4 linked regions of the Drosophila melanogaster genome follow. The protein of the gene in region 1 purifies or fractionates together with the protein of each later gene. This does not show direct contact. Each region holds a gene or a part of one and is shown in the gene's direction. Other genes may lie near its edges. The genes, in order: eIF1A, CG10265, CG7668 and Snx3.

The links.
Region 2: the proteins of eIF1A (region 1) and CG10265 purify together in Drosophila melanogaster (affinity purification with mass spectrometry, with the first as the bait; one large-scale study listed by BioGRID). This does not show direct contact.
Region 3: the proteins of eIF1A (region 1) and CG7668 purify together in Drosophila melanogaster (affinity purification with mass spectrometry, with the first as the bait; one large-scale study listed by BioGRID). This does not show direct contact.
Region 4: the proteins of eIF1A (region 1) and Snx3 purify together in Drosophila melanogaster (affinity purification with mass spectrometry, with the first as the bait; one large-scale study listed by BioGRID). This does not show direct contact.

Annotation. Positions count from the first base shown.
Region 1 is NT_033777.3:18,273,038-18,278,593, forward strand, and holds the start of eIF1A (eukaryotic translation initiation factor 1A), read left to right. Parts: upstream 1-1,660; 5' UTR 1,661-1,719; intron 1,720-1,788; exon of another isoform or gene 1,789-1,829; 5' UTR 1,830-1,900; coding exon 1,901-2,104; intron 2,105-5,143; exon of another isoform or gene 5,144-5,243; coding exon of another isoform or gene 5,244-5,556. Other genes in the region: Vps39 (vacuolar protein sorting 39), read right to left, coding at 1-49, 105-352, 411-660, 722-1,194, 1,247-1,316; CG7142 (uncharacterized protein), read right to left, coding at 5,244-5,556.
Region 2 is NT_033778.4:14,991,635-14,995,936, reverse strand, and holds CG10265 (uncharacterized protein), read left to right. Parts: upstream 1-2,101; 5' UTR 2,102-2,185; coding exon 2,186-2,425; intron 2,426-2,508; coding exon 2,509-3,291; 3' UTR 3,292-3,414; downstream 3,415-4,302.
Region 3 is NT_037436.4:20,000,151-20,005,630, forward strand, and holds CG7668 (uncharacterized protein), read left to right. Parts: upstream 1-2,585; 5' UTR 2,586-2,767; coding exon 2,768-2,842; intron 2,843-3,152; coding exon 3,153-4,213; intron 4,214-4,266; coding exon 4,267-4,399; 3' UTR 4,400-4,684; downstream 4,685-5,480. Other genes in the region: Gabat (gamma-aminobutyric acid transaminase), read right to left, coding at 1-7; Tom20 (translocase of outer membrane 20), read left to right, coding at 1,017-1,146, 1,211-1,286, 1,700-2,009.
Region 4 is NT_033777.3:12,626,410-12,631,891, forward strand, and holds Snx3 (sorting nexin 3), read left to right. Parts: upstream 1-1,621; 5' UTR 1,622-1,934; coding exon 1,935-2,111; intron 2,112-2,479; coding exon 2,480-2,575; intron 2,576-2,812; coding exon 2,813-3,043; 3' UTR 3,044-4,086; downstream 4,087-5,482. Other genes in the region: Vha55 (vacuolar H[+]-ATPase 55kD subunit), read right to left, coding at 1,040-1,112; Not10 (CCR4-NOT transcription complex subunit 10), read left to right, coding at 4,306-4,394, 4,469-5,224, 5,285-5,482.

The DNA of each region.
Region 1 (5,556 bases):
TCTGGCGAATGGTTTGGGCTCGGTCCGCGGCAGGTTCATCGGAGATTTGCTGAACATAAAGTTTGTTGTAGTCGTCGTATTTTGATTTCGTTTATCGGACTCACCGTCAGCTCAATAGCCAGTTGGAATTTCTTTTGCTGTAGCAACTGCTGACGCTGGATAGGGATTTCCACCATTCGAATGCACCAAAGCTCGGAGGTGGCGGCGGCAAAGATGGTTCCCTTGTCGGCGTGAACCAGGAATTTCGTCTTCTGTAGCTCGGGAATGGTCTGGACCAGGGTGTCCTTGCCCACTAGGCTGCGCACCTCGATGGCGTTGTTGACACGACCCACAGCGAATGGCTCATCCCAGACTGTAATGAAGATAATGTGATTTAGAAATTGGCTTGAAGTGAATAGTGAGTATCGTACCCAGATCTAAAAGCGGACTTGACCAGAGCAGAGGAGTTAGGGAACTATTGCTGTCCATGGCAGCTGGCCGGACATCTGTTGAGTTATTGATTCCATCCGATTCTTTGTACTGACTCGGATCTACTACGACGAGGTAGCTGTCCTTAGAGATGCCCAACATGTTGTTCCGGATAAGGCAAATGCAGGGATCTCTGCTGATACTAGAGGAGGTAAGGAAGAGGTTGTGCTTCTTTGGTGCTTTTCCTGATATCTAGAATTGGATATGCAGACCTTTAAAATACGAAGTAAATCGACTTTAAAGCATTTCTCACATCGTAAACAACATATTCGTCTTTGAAGCCCACGCAGACAGCATGGCCCACCCAGCACAGTGTCCTGGGCACATCGCTGAGCTCGATGATCAATTCCAGGGAATTAAGCTTGTCCTCCTTCCAAAAGAAGAACACAAGACGCCGCCGGATAGCGCAGCACACCCGTATGACGGTGGCCACACGTCCGGTTGTGGACTTCGGCGTGTCCACGTCCATGGTGAACAGGGTGCATCCCTTCGTGTCGGGCGCACTGTGCATGAAAGCGAAGTTGCTCTCAATCCGCCGAATGTCGCACACCTGCACCTGTAAGTCGGTGAGTACGAAGAGCAGGTTCTCCGAGGCAATCACTTCCATTTGGGTGATCGGTTTCCGGCTGAAGTTCTTGTTGAACATCCGCATGTCCACGCCCGTCTCCTCGTCCACAGAGTACATGATCAGCTGTCCGCTGCGGGTGCCCAAGATGACATGGTTGCCTGAAAAAATGCGTCCGGTGAGTAATAGCTGTGCACCGAAAATTCCACTCACCATATGCCGCAATTGACTCTATCTGCACGCCCTGTTTCAGGATCGAGTGAACACTGTAGGCCTGGTGCATCTTGGCCAAGTGGAAAAACTTCGGTCTCCTCCGCCTCAATTTATTTTCGTAAAAAAGCTTATAAACAAACCAGATGGGAGTACCACTAATGATAGCTGATGATGATAGATATCGATAGCTTTAGCGGTGGTAAATCGATTTCTTCCTCTTATGGTGATAGCGAAATAACTTAAATATACAAAGTAGAAAATAAAATTTGTACATGTTATAATTTAAGATTCAATCGCTAATGACTAAAAAGTTGAGTGAAATTTTAAATTACGATACTTTAAACGAATGCTGCCAGACTCTGCATTGCTGTCGATAGCACCAGTTCGATATACTGGTTCCCCGCGAAACCGTCCACCTCTAGTCCTTTTCACTTTAGCGAGGCGAAATTGTCACATTTACATTTGACAAAATTGTAAGTTTTGAAACAACTCTGTCGCTTTATTTCGGGTTGAATGTTTTCATTGCATTACTACCCACCCAGTGAAGTCGTTGAGTAACAGTTTTACCCCGTTCCCGCTCCAGGGTCGCCAACAAGCCCGCAGACAGCAACAACATCGAAAGTAGCTGCACAGCAACAACAGCAAACAGCCAAAATGCCCAAGAATAAAGGAAAAGGAGGCAAGAATCGTCGTCGTGGTAAGAACGAGAACGAGTTCGAGAAGCGTGAGCTGATCTTCAAGGAGGACCAACAGGAGTACGCGCAGGTGACCAAGATGCTGGGCAACGGTCGTCTGGAGGCAATGTGCTTTGATGGCGTCAAACGCCTGTGTCACATTCGGGGGAAACTTCGCAAGAAGGTGAGTGCTGCTCTGACTACGCTCTTTGTTTCGCCTGTGCTCTCTTCGCTTGCGTTGAGTGGGTGCCCCTCTCTAAGGTGGCTCTCTTAAGCCATTTTGGCATTGATTGCCAGCGAATGCTACGTATTTACGTTATTGTTTTTGTTGAAATGCAGGCAGTTTTTGTGATTTTGGGGGATTTTGCATTACCCTGCTAACTTTCGACCTTTCTATACCTAATTTTCAACTCTCTTTTTCTGCAATTCTCTTTTACTGGTCCATTATTGAGTGGGTGTCATCGTCCTTGTGCGAATGCATTAACAAAAGAGCAGTGGGCGGTGTGGACGGGGCGGCTGATTAATAATACGCAAGTGCCTATGCACTGATGTATGTATGTAGATGAAAGCAAAGCAATAGCACTGCAAATACAGGGTGACCGCCGATACTTAATTCTTTCAAATAATTCGATTTGAAATGTAAAAAGGCGTAATACTTAAAATAAGTACTATTCTGTCGAGGTTATAGTCAATTTCACTTTACTGTCTACTTAAAACCATATGAAATTTAATTTTATTGATACAATATATATCATTTTAAACAATAGAAGTATGATATATCATATAAGTATATATATATATATCATAAGAAGTATGATATATATAGTCAGTTTTCACTTCAGCGATTCTGAAACTAAGCTAGTGAAAAAGTTTTGCTACGCACTTTTTTTTTCAATTTTTTCATGGTAGTACACCTTACGCAAAATTTTGCGTATATCTTTTGCATTTGAATTAGCTATTCAGTTACATGTTTTCAATTGCGAATACAGCCTCCTTTATAGCACTAATTTGGGTGGTCAAACTGCATTCCATGAAATACCATACGTCCGCAATGGTAGTTCCTCCTTATCACCTACCTGAGTTAGCCCTGGTCGTGGTCACGGTCGTCCATATAGAGATTAGATCGTTTCTTCCGAAGGGAATGAGCACATGTCAAATTTTGGATTGTGCTTCACGCCGCAGGAGACGGGCGTCATAAATAAGATTCCATCCAAATCGACTGCGTCAAGATTCGCGGCGTAATTAGTGACGTCTTCGATTTCTAGTAGGTGTCAAGTAAATATACAATACCAGAAGTGGACTCCAATCGGAGCGAACAAATCAGACATGAAGTTATAAAGGAAACTACGCAACCAAAAAGATTCCAGACTCTTGAAAATCATGTCATACGTTAATTGCCAATCATTGGCACTGTAAATGCAAGTAAACAGATCGAAATAGAAGTTCACTAGCTAGCGATATTTCTTCAATTGAAATTCCAATGAATTCTTCGGGTATTAGATCTTGAACTTTTTATCTTTATAAGCGCCATAAATTAGAACAGAACCTGTCAGATTATTGGACATTGATTAACAAAGTAAATCACCTGCTGCACCACTGCAACTATTCAATGCCATTAGTAAAAAGGATTTTCTACATTTACATGCAATTCCAAACGAAGCTGGTGAAAGAACTTCAAAGATTCATAGCACGTGCTGTGCCATAAAATGAACCTCATGCAACATCCTGACTTGGCAATTATTCTTTGACCGCACTTGGTCAAGGGGTTTGGGGCATTTATCTAATCTACTGTTAAAAGTCGTGTCCGAAAAAACGGAAACCCAATTATAATTTGCAAGCAAGTGCGACGCAGTTTTATGTTTTTTAGTTTGCGCCATGATCTCCATAAATGGATTTATAATCTCACCTAATCTTAAAGTGATATGTTACGTAATGGCCGTAAAGTAGGGGATTCGTTTGGTGCATGTGGCTGAGACGCCATTGAATTAACAACGAATTTATTCGCGCTTGCACTTCTGTGATTAGATTTTTGAACCCAAACTTATGTACACGTATGTTGGTGTTGAATACGCTTTTCATTGCAACTGAGATTTTTGCATTACTAATTTGGCAAATAAAAACTCAGCGATTATAAATAATCCTTCACACAAATAACCAAATAATTAATTTTCTTTATTTCTTATCTATTTTATTGAAAATGCCCTATAATTGATCTGATAGTACAATAACATTTGAATACCGTGTGATGGGCTTGTGGGGAGTGCTTCACAATTTCTAGGCCATCTGTCAAGTTGAATAGATATGGATAATTCCTGGAAATTGGAAGTGCGGAATTACAGCTGACCGGTAGCCAATTACTCAGTTTCTGGGGGCTCAAAGTGCAGCAGTTGGACAGACGACTCAAGGTTCAACGAGCTCTCGATCCTCAGATGTCTGGGCCCAAAAACAAGGGCAGTAATTTTCGTACACACTGTCCCAAAAAAGTCTGTCAATCATCCAGCAGTCAGCTGATGGTGGCAATTTAGCGCTTTCTACGTGCTCCCAGCTAATCTAGTCACACTGATCCCAATCTGACAGTCGTAACATGCTCCCGATGCCCCTTTAATTTGGCCAGACGTTGCTCGGGAGCATGACTAATGCGTGGAAAGGCGCCAAGTGAATTGTGCTTTCGTACCCCAACAACTCCGCCTGCTCCCCGCCCAGCAACAGAATGGGATTATATCGCGAATTCTTATCTGGCCGACCGACTGCCCGCGCCTCAGCTTATTTCACAATCTATTTCGACTGGGCCAAATTTGAAGGAGCTCTCTGGTGGCTCTATACGCACTTTTCTAATTCAATCTGCGCAATTGGATTTAAATCCAAACTAAAGATCCGGTGTGCGATCTATTTTGGTTCTTGTTTGTTGAGCTAATTTGGTTAGAAAAGCAAGATAGTTATCTTACGCAATAACTGCGGAGTAAAATAGGTCACATTTATTCTATTTTAACTCATCCTACTTGGCTAGATAAGCTAAAAATAAGAAGACAGTTGAGATCTTTGTTCTATTTAAGTATTCACAATTTTATTCATGTTTTTTTTTTGGTAGCTTAGTCTAAGTCTTAAATTACTAGAATCGTGGCAGTATATAATTCTATATTTGTTCATCTTATTTTCCTAGTGAGATTGTCTAGAGAATCTACATTTTTCTTTGGGTTTTTCAATCTTTTGTGTCTTTTTTTTTGTATATTTCGTTTTTCGATATCTTCACATTCGAGCGCTAATTTGTGGGCGAATCTGCCTAAGTTGTATAGTATCTTTCCGATGATCATTATTACATGATCTTACATAATGTGGGTGGCCGTGCTGATGACCTGGTTGATCCACTCCGTGAAGGCGGAGACGCGAACAAAGACCGAGGGCGCGTTCTTCTGGCCGCATGGCATCTTGCCCCAGGACACAATGCCGATGACAATGTTGGCCTGCTCGAAGTGCTCCTCGCAGCACTGCTGAATCAATGGTCCGCCGGAGTCGGCGGTGCAGATGCTAACGCCTCCTGTCAGCGGGCCAGTGCACAGATTGGTCTCGTGCAATGGGAGTCCGGAGCGGGCGAGAATCTGTTCGCATAACTCCATGTCCAGTATGGGCATGTTGGCC
Region 2 (4,302 bases), on another chromosome or scaffold:
GCTAGTTCACTCGGCTGCGAAACCCCTTGAAAAACAGTAAACAAAGAGCAGGACAATAGTGGACGGGTGGTGGGTGGTGGGCGGCTGGGCGGACAGATGGGTAGGTGGTAATGCCCTGCCATGGCATGTGTTCATTGTCCAAGAGCAGTTCATGCCTGGTTACGCATCCCTATGTGTGTGTGTGTGCCAGTGAGTGTGTGTGTGTGTGGTGGGGTGCAGGACAGGTCGGGGGGCAGTTGGCATATCAACTGGTCGGACATGGTGTAAACACGTTTAATGTTGTTGCCATTGTCGTTGCCGTTGCCATTGCCATCGCATGGCTGCAGTTGCTCCTCCTGGCAAGCTGGCTGGCTGGCGAGCCCTCGGAGTCACGGAGCCATGCAGCCATGGAGCCATGGAGCCACCTAGCCACGGAGCTCGTCCTCTTCTGGCGCCGTCTCCTTTGCCACGTTTAATTTAATCTACTGGCCAAAGCTGCAGCCGCTACCTTGACATGGTCTGCACTTCAATCTGCATGCACGGCGTACAGTGGTGCCTGGCTATATCCAAACTGTTAGCAGCCAACAAGCTAGTTTCGAATTGTGTCTAATTTGTGTAGAAGCATCACAGCACAGTCAGGCGTTTTAAGGGAAGCTAATATCTTCTATTTAGGATCAGTACAATAAACAATACAAATAATAACAGTTATATACTTTAAGCGGTATCCACTGTAGTTTGCGTCCTGGCTGCTCGAGTGCACCGCAGGTCCATTTAACTTAGCTTTGGCAGTGGCAGTTAGTAGTAGTAGTAGTAGTGGCAGTGGCAGCGGCAATGGGGTTCCAGCTAGCTGGCCACCTTCTCCGCTTCCTCGACTTGGTGCATCACTCAAATGCCGGGGAGCCCCGCAGGCCCCCAAACGAGGCGACAGGAATGCGTGTGTGTAGCAGAGCGTGTGCAAGTATGAGTGTGGGCAACGTAATTTGCATGGTCAGCTTGCAGTTTTGGGACACACAGAGTGGCAAGTTGTGCCTCGCTCTCGTCCCTGGCTTAATTGCATGCAGGAATAGCAACTGCAGGAGCAGCCTCATCAGCATCGGCAACTTCATCCAATTGCCGCTGGAGCTGCGACCCACAGATCCATACAATTTCCGGGCTGTAAGCGATGCGGCTCTTTAAAGTTCACTTATTAAGTTGCAAGAATAGCAGGAAAATTCAACCAAAAGTGGGCCAGTTTGAAAAATATCAAGAATATGCCAACGATACTCACCTACGCTCTGCCGGGTGATTATGCTGCACGTGGTTCGACATGGTCCGTGCTCGTTATGCGGAACATTACAACAACAAAAAAAAAAAATTTAATATATATGTAGGTACGCAAAAAGTGCTGGATTTCCTTTTCATTTGTTTTCCACACACACTAGACAGACATTCGAGTTGAAGTCAAAATCAGACAATGTTCCCTCCATATGGCTCCATATCACATTGGTCGAAAAAATGGCAAGCTTACAAATGGCGCAGTCCCCGGCTGCATAAACGATGTCATTTTTTGGATTGCCCAATTTTTTTTTAGGTAGCTTGCGAATCATTTGCAAGCGATTTAATTTCAATTGCATGGGCGTTAATCAAAGGAAACAAAAGCCAACACGGGAAAAAGAACAAAGAAAACGCTAGTCCACTTATTCGACAATGTAAAAGAAAGCAGAGAGTTACTATTAATGCAGCAAAAAATGAGCAGGAGCAGTTCAAATAAAATCTTTCCAGTAATTTTCGATTCATGGACCAAAAACCGTAAACAAAAAAATCGTTCTATTTTACATAGTGAAAGTATGTTTTCATCTATTTTTTATCAATCTGAGCAAAACTACATATAAACATAAATTATTTATATAATATTTATATTAAATTATTCCAAACATTTTATTATACCATTTATATATCGTCATCCTTATCAAATCTTATATCTAAATGTTTTTTTTTTTAATGTGTAATGTGTTTTTCCTATTTGGTTTTTTGTGTGCTTTGAATTTAGGCGCGCAACAAAATGAATAGCAACTGTTTGGTATTTTTATGTCAGATTTTGTACCAACTAAAAATCGTTGACATCTACTACGTTTCAACGTCTGGCCACTCTGCACGAATGCAAAAACAAACTGAAATAATTTTTTAATACCATTTTTCTTCTTGGCGCGAATTGGCTACAAAAAAAATGAATGGATCGCGTAAAATAAAGTCCATGAAGACGATTCGCCTTGGCGACGTTCTATACGACGACCAAAAACGACTTCTAACGCTGTGCCGCAGCTGCGAATGCCACTTTATGACGCTCCAATCGTTCCAACGCCACCTAGCCGATTGCCCCGGAGTAAAATACATAGTAACGCCGATCGAACCGCTGGCATTTGATGATGCCAATCGGGAAACGAGACTGGTGAATGGCAGACAGGAGGTAGGCAGCTAAGGGAGCTCCATGATCCGGCGTTGCCCTGAAAACTTCCTGAGAATCCTTTTGATTGAACTCACTTCTTGCAGATTCACATCTACGACCTGGAGGCGGTTAAGAAGAACACCAACACGGCCATCGATTGGGAGGCAGAGCTGGAGGATCCACGCTGGTACACCAATCCCAAGCCCACCGTGCAGACCATACCAAAGACAAATTCCAAGGAAAATATAGTAAAGGAGGATGTAGTGCCGCTCGCCAAGGAGCCTCAGGAACCGGAAGGGGTGCCTGCGAAACGTCCGCGTAGCCCTCCCACCACCCGACGTACCATTCTGACCTCCCAGCAGCAGCGCAGATCCCGTGCCTGCTTGACTTCCCCTCAACCGCCAGCAGTAAAGATGAAAAAGGCCATCATTCTGGTGCCCACTGTGCTGGAAGATCTGAAGCGATTGCAGGACACGGAGAAAAAGGAAAGGATTCCAGAGGCACCACCAGCTCCTGTACATCCTGTAAGGTCATTGCAATCTCGTGCTACCGGGACAACGCAGTCAACATCTCAATTGGTACCCATGAAATTTTCTCCTGCATCGAAGCTTATTATACCAGTCTCTTCAAGGATATCTGAAGTACCAGAACCTCCCAAGACGCCCGAGAAACCAGTTCCTACCATAACAAGCAAATCAACTCCTCCATTGGATGGCACCCAGAAAATCCTAAACAAACTCAGAGCATGCGGTGTGGAGGTGAAGCGAGCAAGTACCCAATTGAATGCCACGACTGAGCTAAATCCAACCAAAAATCAAGAGACCTTGGACATCATGAGAAAACTGCAATCCAAGGGCATCAGATGCACCAAAGTAAGAAAATCGTAGTTGTATTCGCCGTAGTGTAAGGATGGTGCCATTAAATGTGCCTCTGGAGGCGAGGATTTAGCAATATAACTTTATTTAATTTAAATGGAGATTAATAAATTCCCGGATAGCGTTTATAACTTTAATAGCAAGCGAGTCTCTTTATTATCAAATCGCTTAATTTTAAATGTTTTATTTTGGTTTTTTTGCTCAAGCAGTGTGACCTTTTGATGCGACAACGTTATCGATTTAATATATCGACTATACACTAGTGGTGGCTATTTAGCTTATAAATGTATTGAACTATATTAAATAATTAAAACTATATATCACTCAAACAATGCCGTTTAAATACTTTGAAGACGGTAATCACATGTTCCATACAAAATGTTAACAGTCCTAGCTTTTTTTATGTTGTCCATTTATGTAGCTGAAAAGTTGGCATCACTGTGTAAGAAGAAGAAGCAGCTTGTTGATTTTTGGTGCCGCACGCGTTTCGGTCGAAAGTAATTGGAAATATTTGTGCTTGCGCCCGGCGTTATATATATTTTGTAGTACTCGAAACACTGCCGAATCCAAATCCAAAATTCGCGTGTGCACACCCACCTGCCGAGGCGGTACCAATTAAAAGGTAGGTCAGCTGACGACGATGGCAGCCAATTCGGGCTTACATAATTTGGGGACAGAATATTTATTTTGCCACCTTAGATTTGGCATTCAATGCAGTGAAAATGACATCATTTTGAAATTTTTAGAACCGCTTGTGTTTTGTTTGGTGAATTTTATAATATTTGCAATATTTCGGCTGCAGTTGCATCATTGACAGCGAACCTTAAGTTTAGTTCTCTGTAAAGGTCACCAAGCCCAGACTTAAAAAACAGATGTTTTTTAACAATCTTGGTACGTCCCACTACTAAAGCACTTATAATTTAATATACATTTAATCCGCCAGTAAAACACCTATAAATTTGAATTAGAATTCAATTTTATTCTCATTTCAAGTTTCAATATTATTTCTATTTCAAATACTTG
Region 3 (5,480 bases), on another chromosome or scaffold:
TCCGCATGGTTACCGTCGATTTGAGTGCTCCGGGGTTAAGTGAAGGAATTGCTCAATAGGAGGGCTCGTTGCTGGCCACTAATACTTAGTTAATAAAGAAAACGTATATATTTACAGAATACAAACATAGAGGCTTTTATGTATGCGGGCATATACACCTATCCATATTCTTAAGCACAACCACATTCTCCCAGTTCGGATTTTATCAATTTAACTTTTGGAATCATCATGGTTCTGCGTCAATTACATATTCTGCAGTGAAAGTAAACGAAAGTTGAAAAAAAAACCAAACCATATTTTGCTCTGCGGGGCTCCATGGTCTCCTATTGAAATGAAGATTATATATCATAGTATTAGCATTTTCTATATATTTTCTTTTTCCACATTAAGCATATCTTATTTTTCAAAACAAAATTATAACAAATATTTTAACGAACAATAGGCCTTGACCAAATTCTCAACATGCATTATGCCATAATAAAATCTACTCTGGAGTTATCAACAAAATATCTTCAAAAAGTGGTAAATTTAAAATTAAAAAAAAAAACTGAATTAAGTCGTCAGCTGTTTCACACAACGGAAGATATGCATATATGCGAACAATTTTTTATTTAAGTAATTACAAAATAAAAGTAAAAAAAATAAAAAAAGAAAATTAAAAACATTAGTTTTGGAGGATAGGGATTTTAAGCGAATAATGCAAGTTAAATAAATATAATACAAGAAGTGAGCTTACGATTATTTCTTAGCGTATTATAACTTGATCCCACAGTATTTCTGAATAAACTAAAAAAAAATACATTTAAATCTCTTACTTAAAATTAAATAAATATCCCTTAGCAAAATTTAAAAAAGAAAACAGTGTTCCAGTCCGCCGTTTCAAATTAGTGCGAAACAAGTGAAAAACATGAAACAACAGTAGTTGTAGGCGATATCGATTTTTGTTTTATGTAAATCGATGGCACATGCGGAATGTAAAATAAGACCAAGTTAATACAGAGGATTTCCGTAGTAATATGATTGAAATGAACAAAACTGCAATCGGCATTGCAGCGGGAGTAGCTGGAACTCTGTTTATTGGATACTGCATCTACTTCGACAAGAAGCGCCGCAGCGATCCCGAGTACAAGAAGAAAGTCCGTGAGCGTAAGAATCCCCATTGCGCCCCAACTGAATTATGAAAGAAACTCATCATTTCATCACTTCCTAGGTCGCCGTCGCAACAAGAAAACCGGCACTGCCAAGTCTGGAGTTCCCAATCTGAACGACCATGAAGCCATCGAAAGGTAGGACACTCCCATGGGAGTCGCATTATATAATGTGGCACGTGTAGTGGTGCCTGGCGATTCAATACACCTCCATTCAAACAAACAAGCCCACATATGTTTCTCCAGCCAAATCGATGTACATATTTTATGTGGAGTCCCATTACACTTGCGTGTTCATCGTGTTGCTGCTTATTGCCTCAGGCATCTAAAGACTCCACTGCCTTGGATTAACAAGCACATTTCAGTGTTTGGATTCTCAGCAGGCTTCCTGCCAAGAAATTCATAATTTGAATATACAAATAGTTATTATTGTTGCAACTGTGCACAATTTATATTATTTATATGCACCTAATTTGCCTGGCATTAATTTAATTCGTAATAGTGTGCATCGAATCAGCTGTTCCAAACTAATTAAACCATGATATTTGCAGATATTTCCTTCAAGAAATCCAGCTGGGCGAGACCCTGATCGCCCGCGGAGATTTCGAGAGTGGCGTGGAGCACTTGGCGAATGCCATCGTCGTGTGTGGCCAGCCGGCTCGTCTGCTGCAGGTGCTGCAATCCTCCCTTCCAGCTCAAGTATTCGCGATGCTGATCGTCAAGATGCAGGAGTTCGGCAATCGAGCGGCCGAGGGCAACGACGGGCCAATCGTTTTGGGGCAGAGCTCGGAGCAACAACTGGACGGAGCCAAAATTATAGAGTGTTCATCTGGAAACGCAAGTATCGACGACCTCGAATAGTACTTGGAGATGGCTACAGAAATTGAGATATAAATTTCAACAGTAGAAATTAAGGGCTTCACATATAAACATTATATTTTTTTTATATATTGATTTCTCTGGATGTTCCCAATACATACAAATAAATATGCGTAAACTGTTAACACTTAACAATTGAGCTTTGTTTTGTGCGTGGTATTTACGTTAGGCGAATATCAAAGATCAACTCTGCAGACCTAAATGTTTTGCAATATGTATGTATAACAGGGTATGTGTTAAAGTGTGTGAAAGTTTATCAACAATAAAAGATTATTAACATGTTGAATATCTTGGGAATAAATACATATATCTCCTAACCGGTTTGATAATAAAGGTATTCCAAAGTTTCTTTGGTATTTAAATATAAGTGATTATTTATAGGAAAAGCGTACTACTGCCATCTAGGCAGCTTAATCAAATGAGAAATGGTTCTTATACACTTATTTAAAGCAATAGTTTGAAAATGCAAAAGTTCCTTTTCAAAGATGATACCCAGTAATTAAATTTACGGAATACCCCCTATGCCATGTTCTAGCCGGACTGCGTAACTCCCTCAGTCCATATCTGGTAACACTTAGAGCTAAACAGCTACGTGCAATTCATCGGATTTTTTTGTATTTTGAGTTGTTACAAATATAGGCACTTGCTTTACATCTTTAAATTTATTGCACGGATTATTGCAAATTCCGTTTGGAGTGCTTTTAGGTACGATAAAACGTGGTGCTGATAAATTAATCCCCATGAAGCCGGAGGACCAGAACAACTTTTCTCAGAATTCGCGATCCTCTCCAGATTCCAGCACTGAGAACAATTCGGTGAGCAATAAGATTTTTCTCGATTCTCGTTACTTACATAGATAGAGAAGAACGTGTGAGAAATTTGAAAATTCTTTTGGTGTATTGATATAAATTCACAAGTAAAATAAAAATCAAAGACACTAAAATAATAATGTCTAATGTCTTTATTATTCTAATGTCTTTGATAAAAACTTTTCGCTTTATATGTACTTCCCCAAATTCCGATTCTAGTGTCTTTGAATAGACTCAGTCAGATCCGATAGTGATCGTAATCATGAATTCATGCACATAGTTCTCAGCGAATATTGTATACTCTTTCGTTTTTCAGAGCAGCAGTGATTCGGAAATGGAATTTGTGGGCACAAGTGCACGGGGAATGCTGAAACATAAGAAAAAAGATGAGAGGAAAATATCGGAACTCACCCGAAAGTTGGCGGAGGCTGAAATAAATCTGAAGGCCCAACAGGAGAAGGGCAGTATACTTGAAAACTGCATCAAGGATAAGGATGATTTTATTAAGACCCTGCAATTGTCGATTGACTTAGTAACGCAAACAAAAGAAATGACCATACAGAAGTTACAAACTCAAATTATGGACTTGCAAAGTGATCTCGACTTGAGTAGGATTACAATTAAGAAGAACGATGGAGGAAATTGTGCTCCAGCGCATGATAAAGTTGTGAAAGAACGAAAGGAGTTAAATATGGAAAATGGAAAATTTCGAGAGGGGAATGATCAGATTGTTGAAATCGAGAAAATTTTGAACTCAAAAGAGGCGGAAATCGCCAGACTAGAATTCAAAATTGACGAGTCGAAGCTAAAAATTGTGCAATTGGAAGGTGCAGTAAAGGCGAAGGACGAAAAGATAGTGAAAATGACAGAGATATTGTCTGAGTATAACGTTAATAATAAGGACCACGATGAATTCGTATTACTGGGCTCTTCCAAGTTGCCTTCAATTAAATTGGTGACACTACCTGATTTCGAACCCTTTGCCTCAGTTTTCGAGGATATTCCTTCTGCCGGTCGTGGTTGGATGATAATCCAGCGTAGAATCGATGGCAGTTTCGATAACGCCACTGAATCAAATATAATAACGGGCTGTGGGGATTTGGGTGGCGAGTTCTGGCTTGGCCTACAAAAATTGCATAAAATGACGACACATCGACGAATGGAACTATATATCCAGCTCGTCGATTTCGACAATGCTAGTGCTTATGCAAGATATGATAATTTTGTTATTGGCGATGAAAAACAGAAATACAAACTGCTTTCCCTTGGCGAATACTCAGGAAATGCTGGCGACGCATTTCGCAGTCATATAAACCATATTATTGTTGGAAATCCGTTTGCAATGGAATCATCGAAATGGTGGGGTACAATGAACTGGTATGTATGAACTTGTTTTTGTTTAATGATTTTGAAAAATAATTCTTTTTCAGTAACTTGAACGGAAAATATCGGAATTCCAAAGTTGAGTTGGACACGACCGATGGCATTTGGTGGGGTAATTGGAATGTTGGTAATAGATATCCCCTGAAGTCGTGCAAAATGCTAATCAGACCAATGCCGTGAGCCAAGTATAATGGCTTGTCAAATAACATTGTCACGGAAATAAAAGTTGTAAAATAATTTCTACCTGTTCATTTTCAGCCTAATTATTGTAGAATGTTAAGTTTTAGTGTCGACCAAAGAGTGGATAACAGGCTTGAAGGTCCTATAAATGCTGTATGCTGTATTTGCAAGTAAAATCTAGCTTCGCTTGGTATTTTTTTTATCGTAATAATACCGACTTTGTTATTTTACGGTCGAGGGAAATTTACATGAAAATCCCACCAGATGGCGCGTTTGATAAAATCGATTTTATCGCAGGAATGCCGTATTAAATTGCCCAAGTTTCTATAAAATATAAATATATTTTGATAAATAGTAATAATAATACATAATAGAAAAAAAAAAAATAAAACATAAAAATCTGCAGAAGGCAACAAATTGCATCTAACAGTGAAGTGGAGCATTTTCCTAGCCTCACAAAATATTTAGCAATAACAAATACATTTGTCTAAAACATGTAACAAGTCAGACATATGCATGTTCTCCGCAATAAAGCTGGGATATTTTTACCAGAGAGGGTCAAAGGACTCAATAACAGAAGGGGAAATAGGGGTGCTCCATGCTCAAGCTGGTCCGGATGAGCTCGAAGTTGCTGTTGGAGGTTGCAGCTGGAGGTTGCAAGCGCAGGACATGGCCCAACTCGTTAGGACCTCGAAACGAAAAGTCGAATCAGTTGAATTTCTGTTCTCATTGACTGCGGTTTAAGTTGCTTTAAATCGCAGTAAACGGTGTGCGTCGTCGGTAGCAATTGAATGAGAAGGGAAAGTATGTTTCAATCGAAAGTCGCGTTGTTCCGTTAATATGACTCGAGCTTAGGCGACGATACGCGAGTCGATAAATGTATCTGCGCCCATACGCATTTCCAGTGCAAGTGATGTTTATCTGTAAAATGCAGAAATATGTACGTATTCGTGTTGTGTGCCACAAATACGTCCGAGTTGACCAATAGTCCACGATAATATTGCTTTACATATAAGTGTAACAGTGAATTGGGGTTGCATAACCCCCTGTGGTGATACAGATAATGAGAAACCAAATATAT
Region 4 (5,482 bases), 5.6 Mb from region 1:
TCTTAATTGTTGCAATGTCCATGAGGTCATTAATTAAATCACTGAAGTGACCATAAAAATTGGGATCTTTTTTTAAAAAAAATTACAATTAAGTTGTTTTTATAGATGTCATTGGAAATAATATACTAAAAGGGCAGCTCAATATTTGTTTCTCTTTTAATCACTTTTTTTTCAATAAAAACGAAGTTTTAATAATTTTACTTTGTAGCACATTGCTTTCTTCGTCTTCCAATTAGATAAAGTTCCAACAAAAACACGAGTCGCGCAATGCTCACATGAAAGTCGGAATCTGATAAGAAAGCAAACGTCAAAAGAAAAGTGTAGGCGCGAGGGGGGTGTTGACTGGGAGGCTAAATTATGTCAGCTGACTGTCCAACTGGTTTTTAGCCCTTGCCACGAGCTGCAGTTGGAATCTTATGGGAATTAGATAGGAAAAAGGGATTGAAATATGCAGCGAAGATAAATATATAAATTGCATTAAAAGACAAGCCTACACTGACTGGCTGCATAAAACAATGCAACTATATTTTTATCTACAATGGCTACTAATTTGACACATGAATACAGCCAACATAAAAAACATTGAAATTCTCTCTATCGACCGAACCGATCAATCGTCAGTTATGCCACCCACCCCGTTCGCAGTCAGGTGCCTTTAAGTGTGTGCGTTCAGCTTTGAATGGCAAACGCAAACAGCTGAGCAGCGAACGGTCATGTGACGGCGAAAATTTTCAATAAGCGTTAACCATGATTATGGGCTGCTCCCCATTACGATCTGATCAGCGTAGAACATTTAAAGCTCTATATGAAATATTATTCTATAGGTTTCATTCTGTTACGTTGTTAATTGTGTGTTTTTGTGGGTGTCGCAAGAATTTATTGATTTTTTCTCTACTTCGCCTCACACCAGATTCGTGCAAACTGTCATGGCGGACTTTCTTGGCATTTTCTTATTGGGTTTTTTTTTTCGGTCACTTGATTGGGTTGCGAATGCATTTCTTGATATTTCACTTATTTGCAAATTCCGTGGATTACTCACTCAAGCGGGGCTGGGAGATAAAGTCCCGGGAGACGGCGAGGACATGTTCCCGCTGGGCTTGTTGGGCGTTCATCTTGGATAGACTTTTTCTGCGCCTCTACCTTGAAAGTGCACTGCAAATTTCGAGCTGCAATTAGATACGATTTTAGCTTTTAGCCACTATTCGGACGTGGTCTTTTACAAGCACATACAATTTTTCAGCTACGAAACAGTACTGAGCGACACACACGCAAAATTTTGGCCTGCGAAGTCGTTGCGAGTACGATGAAAAATTGCCCTGGAACTGAAAGTATTGCTGAATGTGAATCTGCTGTGACGTCACGTGCCGTCACATGACCCGTCACGCGTTAGGAACTTTCCGTTTCGCGCGCTTTACAACACTAATTGTTAGTGTTGCCATTTAGTGGAGTTCCACACCGCAGCAGGGCTGCCACATTGCCATATGGTATCAAATGAACCGGTGACGAAATCGGTATGGCAGCTACGCACTCACAAGTCTGTTTACCTACACTGGAGTTAGCAGTGTTTTTCACCCACAGAGAGCTGCCATATCGCCGTATGTTATCGATAAATTTGGAAGCATTGATTTGTACCACCCCTACTGTTAACTCACACAGCACAGTTCTGTTAATTATTGGAAAGTTTTTTAATGGAACAAATTTAATTAAATTACAAAAGTTGTTTACCCGCTGCGGCACTTGGACACCCAGAAAGTAAAACAAAGCAGTGCTCGGGGACAGCAATTGAATAGTACCAGAATCCGGGACATCGGAGGCAGCGAGCCGCGACAAAGAAGTGCACAAAGAGAGATAGCCAGTGCAAAACCCGTTTCTTCCAACCGATAAAAGGGGCGTCTATAGCTCTGCCGATCCGGAGCCCCTGGCATTGCACCACTATGATGGTTGAGTCCGATGGAACCGCCGACGCCACCCGCCGCCTAAACGTGAAGAAGCAAACACTGGACGATGCGTACGCCGTGCCCGCCAACTTCCTGGAGATCGACGTGGTCAATCCGCTGACCACCATGGCGGCGGGCAAGAAGCGCTACACGGACTACGAGGTCCGGATGCGGGTGAGTGATCGTAGTACATGTACATGGGGGCACCACCTATGCACCTTCCAAAATTCACCGAAAAAACCATTGATAATCGCTGGAATTCGCTCACACACTTGTGTGCATGTGTTCGTGCGACTTTGTCTCGCTGTGCATGTGTGTGTGCGTGCGTGTGTGTGTGTGTGTGTGTGTGTGAGTGCGGGTGATACGCCTATAAAGCGAGCCGGCCGATAAACATTAGTCACAAGTGCAGAGCACTGATTCCAGTGTCACGGCTTGAGTCACGGAAATGCGGCATGCGGGTGCCTTTATGCGGCACCGACCTTTCATTGAATTACTCTATAAGATTGGCCACCACATATGATTAACCATCGCTCCTTTTTTAGACCAATCTGCCCGTCTTTAAGGTAAAGGAGTCCAGTGTCAGGCGACGCTACAGCGACTTTGAGTGGCTGCGAAACGAGCTGGAGCGGGATAGCAAGGTACGGACAAGTGTGATCCAGGCGGTAGTCTTTCGTTTTCACTTTAATAGATTCAAAATCCGCACTATTCAGAATCTATTTAGATAGAATTACGAAACAATACATTGTAATTATAAGAAGCCACTAGAAAAGTTTCAATCCTTAAGAGGAAACTTAACCCTGAGTTTTATAAGTGAAAACGGAAACTTCGATAAGCGCCTGAAGAGTATTTAATCATGAACATACATATCCCCGCAGATTGTGGTGCCACCACTCCCAGGAAAGGCATGGAAGCGGCAGATGCCCTTCCGCGGCGACGAGGGCATCTTTGACGAAAGCTTCATCGAGGAGCGGCGCAAGGGACTGGAGGCCTTCATCAACAAGATAGCCGGACATCCGCTGGCGCAGAACGAGCGCTGCCTGCATATGTTCCTGCAGGAGAATGTCATAGATAAGAACTACGTGCCCGGCAAGATTCGGAACACATAAGCAGCTTAGTCCGGCGCAATCGAAACCCCCTAACCATAGCAATGCAATGAAGCAAAAACTCGAACGAACAAACCTGCTACGAAATCTTTATGGGAAGCCGTGTGAATGTGTGTGCTTGCCCGGATTGGAGGAGGATGGAGCAGATGAGCGATGATGTAGGTTGGTGGAGAAGGGATCTGTTATGCGACGCGATACGAGGCGGGAAGTGCTGCTGCTCAGTTAATGTTGAGCCCCTCTCAGCCCCCGGGGATTAGTTAAAAACCAGCATTGGGAATTTTTAATGCTAAATTCAAGTTTATATGGTATACATAACAATATACATACACATATATATATATTATACACAATACACATATTTACGAATAGTGTACATAAGACATGCCTACTACGCCCTCGCTAAATGAGTCTCGAAAGTAGGAGCTGCCCCTCCCATTTTCCCGATCCTCAGTTTCTTCGTTTTGAACCATTGCAGCGGTAATGAAGCAGCAAATAAAATAAGGGAGCCATCCTGACCCCAAAATCGATCCCTTGTAAGTGTATGCAAATTATTGAATATTTTGAAACAGTTTAGTGAATAATATTGTACTTCGAATCAAATTAAAATAATTCAAAAATATTGAACTGCTGATATTATTTGAATGTGCTTGAAAATGATGCGCAACTGAAGATTAAGTTGAGTTTTGTATAAAATATTAGCCTTTTTCCTAGCCAATTCTGCGGGATGGAAGTTTGTTCTTCAACTGGTCGATGTTGAATCTATGTAGTTCCCATCATATAAACCAGGCGAGGATTAATAACAATATGATGAAACAGGAAACTTCGATTGAATGCAAGGATAATTACAGTTGGGTGGGTAGGTGGATCAAAAATTGTAAACGATAAATGGATATTTTATTATTCTAAATATTATATATCATCACAAACAAAAGTCTCAGTTGAAATAAAGGTATAGGTTTCGCGCGCTGCAAATCTAGACTAGTGATGTGCTGCCACCTATCGACAGCAAAATGCCAATTTGACCATTGTAAAGTTAAAATTTTATATAGAATATATTTTAATTTGTTCATATTAACAATTTAATTTTTAATTAATAAATTAACAAGAAATTTAACAAGTTGTTTAATGTTAAGAATTAACTTATTTATTAATAAGGTTAACCGCTTTAGTTACGGTTAAAAGTGGCAACGCTGTGCTTGTTGATTCTGGCAACGCTGTGTCATCTGTGGATTGGTTCGGTTTTTTTGTTTTTATTTATTTTTGGCATGGACTCGGCGGAATCCCCCACCAAAACGCAGGCCGGCGAGGACGAGAACTACAGTCTGCTGTGCCAGGCGCACGAGCAGTTCAACAAGTGAGTGTTCATCCGCGTGTCACCGGGAAGTGCACCCATAACCGCCACTCCTTTCCGGCTGCTCCTCATTCTAGCTCGGAGTTTGATCGCTGCTTGGAACTGCTCCAGGAGTTGGAGACGCGCGGCGAGAGCAGTGGTCCTGTCCTGCGGCACAACCGGGCGGTGGTCAGCTACTACAAAACCGGGTGCACCCAACACTCCGTCCTGCTGAAAGAACTGGAGGCTCTAACCGCCGATGCAGATGCGCCCGGAGACGTGTCCAGCGGGCTGAGCCTTAAGCAGGGAGCTGCCGCCGCCACTGTTGCTCGTTACAACCGGGCGGTCATCTATTATCACCGCCATATGTTCGGCACGGCACTGGAGAAACTAGCACCACTAGTGGCTCGTCTGGAAGCCCTGGAGAAGGCAATGGCAGCGCTGGTGGCCACACTACAGCTACAGCTGCTGCTGGCCACCAATCAACTAAACCGAGCCGAGGCCTTTCTGGATTACTTGCAGTACAAGCTTAACCTGGTGGCCACAGCGCCTAGCAGCAATGCGGCCGAAGAGGCAGCTGTTGTCGGCACAGCACCTCCGTCAGCAGCGACGAACAGTTCAGTGGTGGCCTCACCAGGAGGAGCAGCTGTGGAGGGAGCTGTGCCCGGTCTGGGCGGTAGTCTGCAGCTCTTGCAGCTAATAACGCTCGTGCTTAACCGAAAACCGGTGGTTATTCAGGAAGACGGCACGCCGGAGTACGCTGCTCTGAAGGCTCAGCAGTACTACATCATGAAGGATTTTCAGATGGCCGCCAAGCAGCTTATGCGAATCAATAACGAGTGTACACAAGCGGGGTGAGTCTGCTTCATTTTAAGTTCAAAGAAGACATACTATTTTATTGTCTATCTTAATAGCACTATAACCCCCCAGCTGAGCACGTGCATTGCCAACAATATGGGAGTGATACACTTAAGAGTGCGTCACTATGCCATCGCCGCCAAGTTCTTCCAAAATGCGCTCAACTTTGACCAGCAGCTGGCGCGAAATTTGCGCCAGAGTACGCTGCAAACCATGAGTTCGGCACGGTCCTGCGAGATCCTTTACAACCTCGG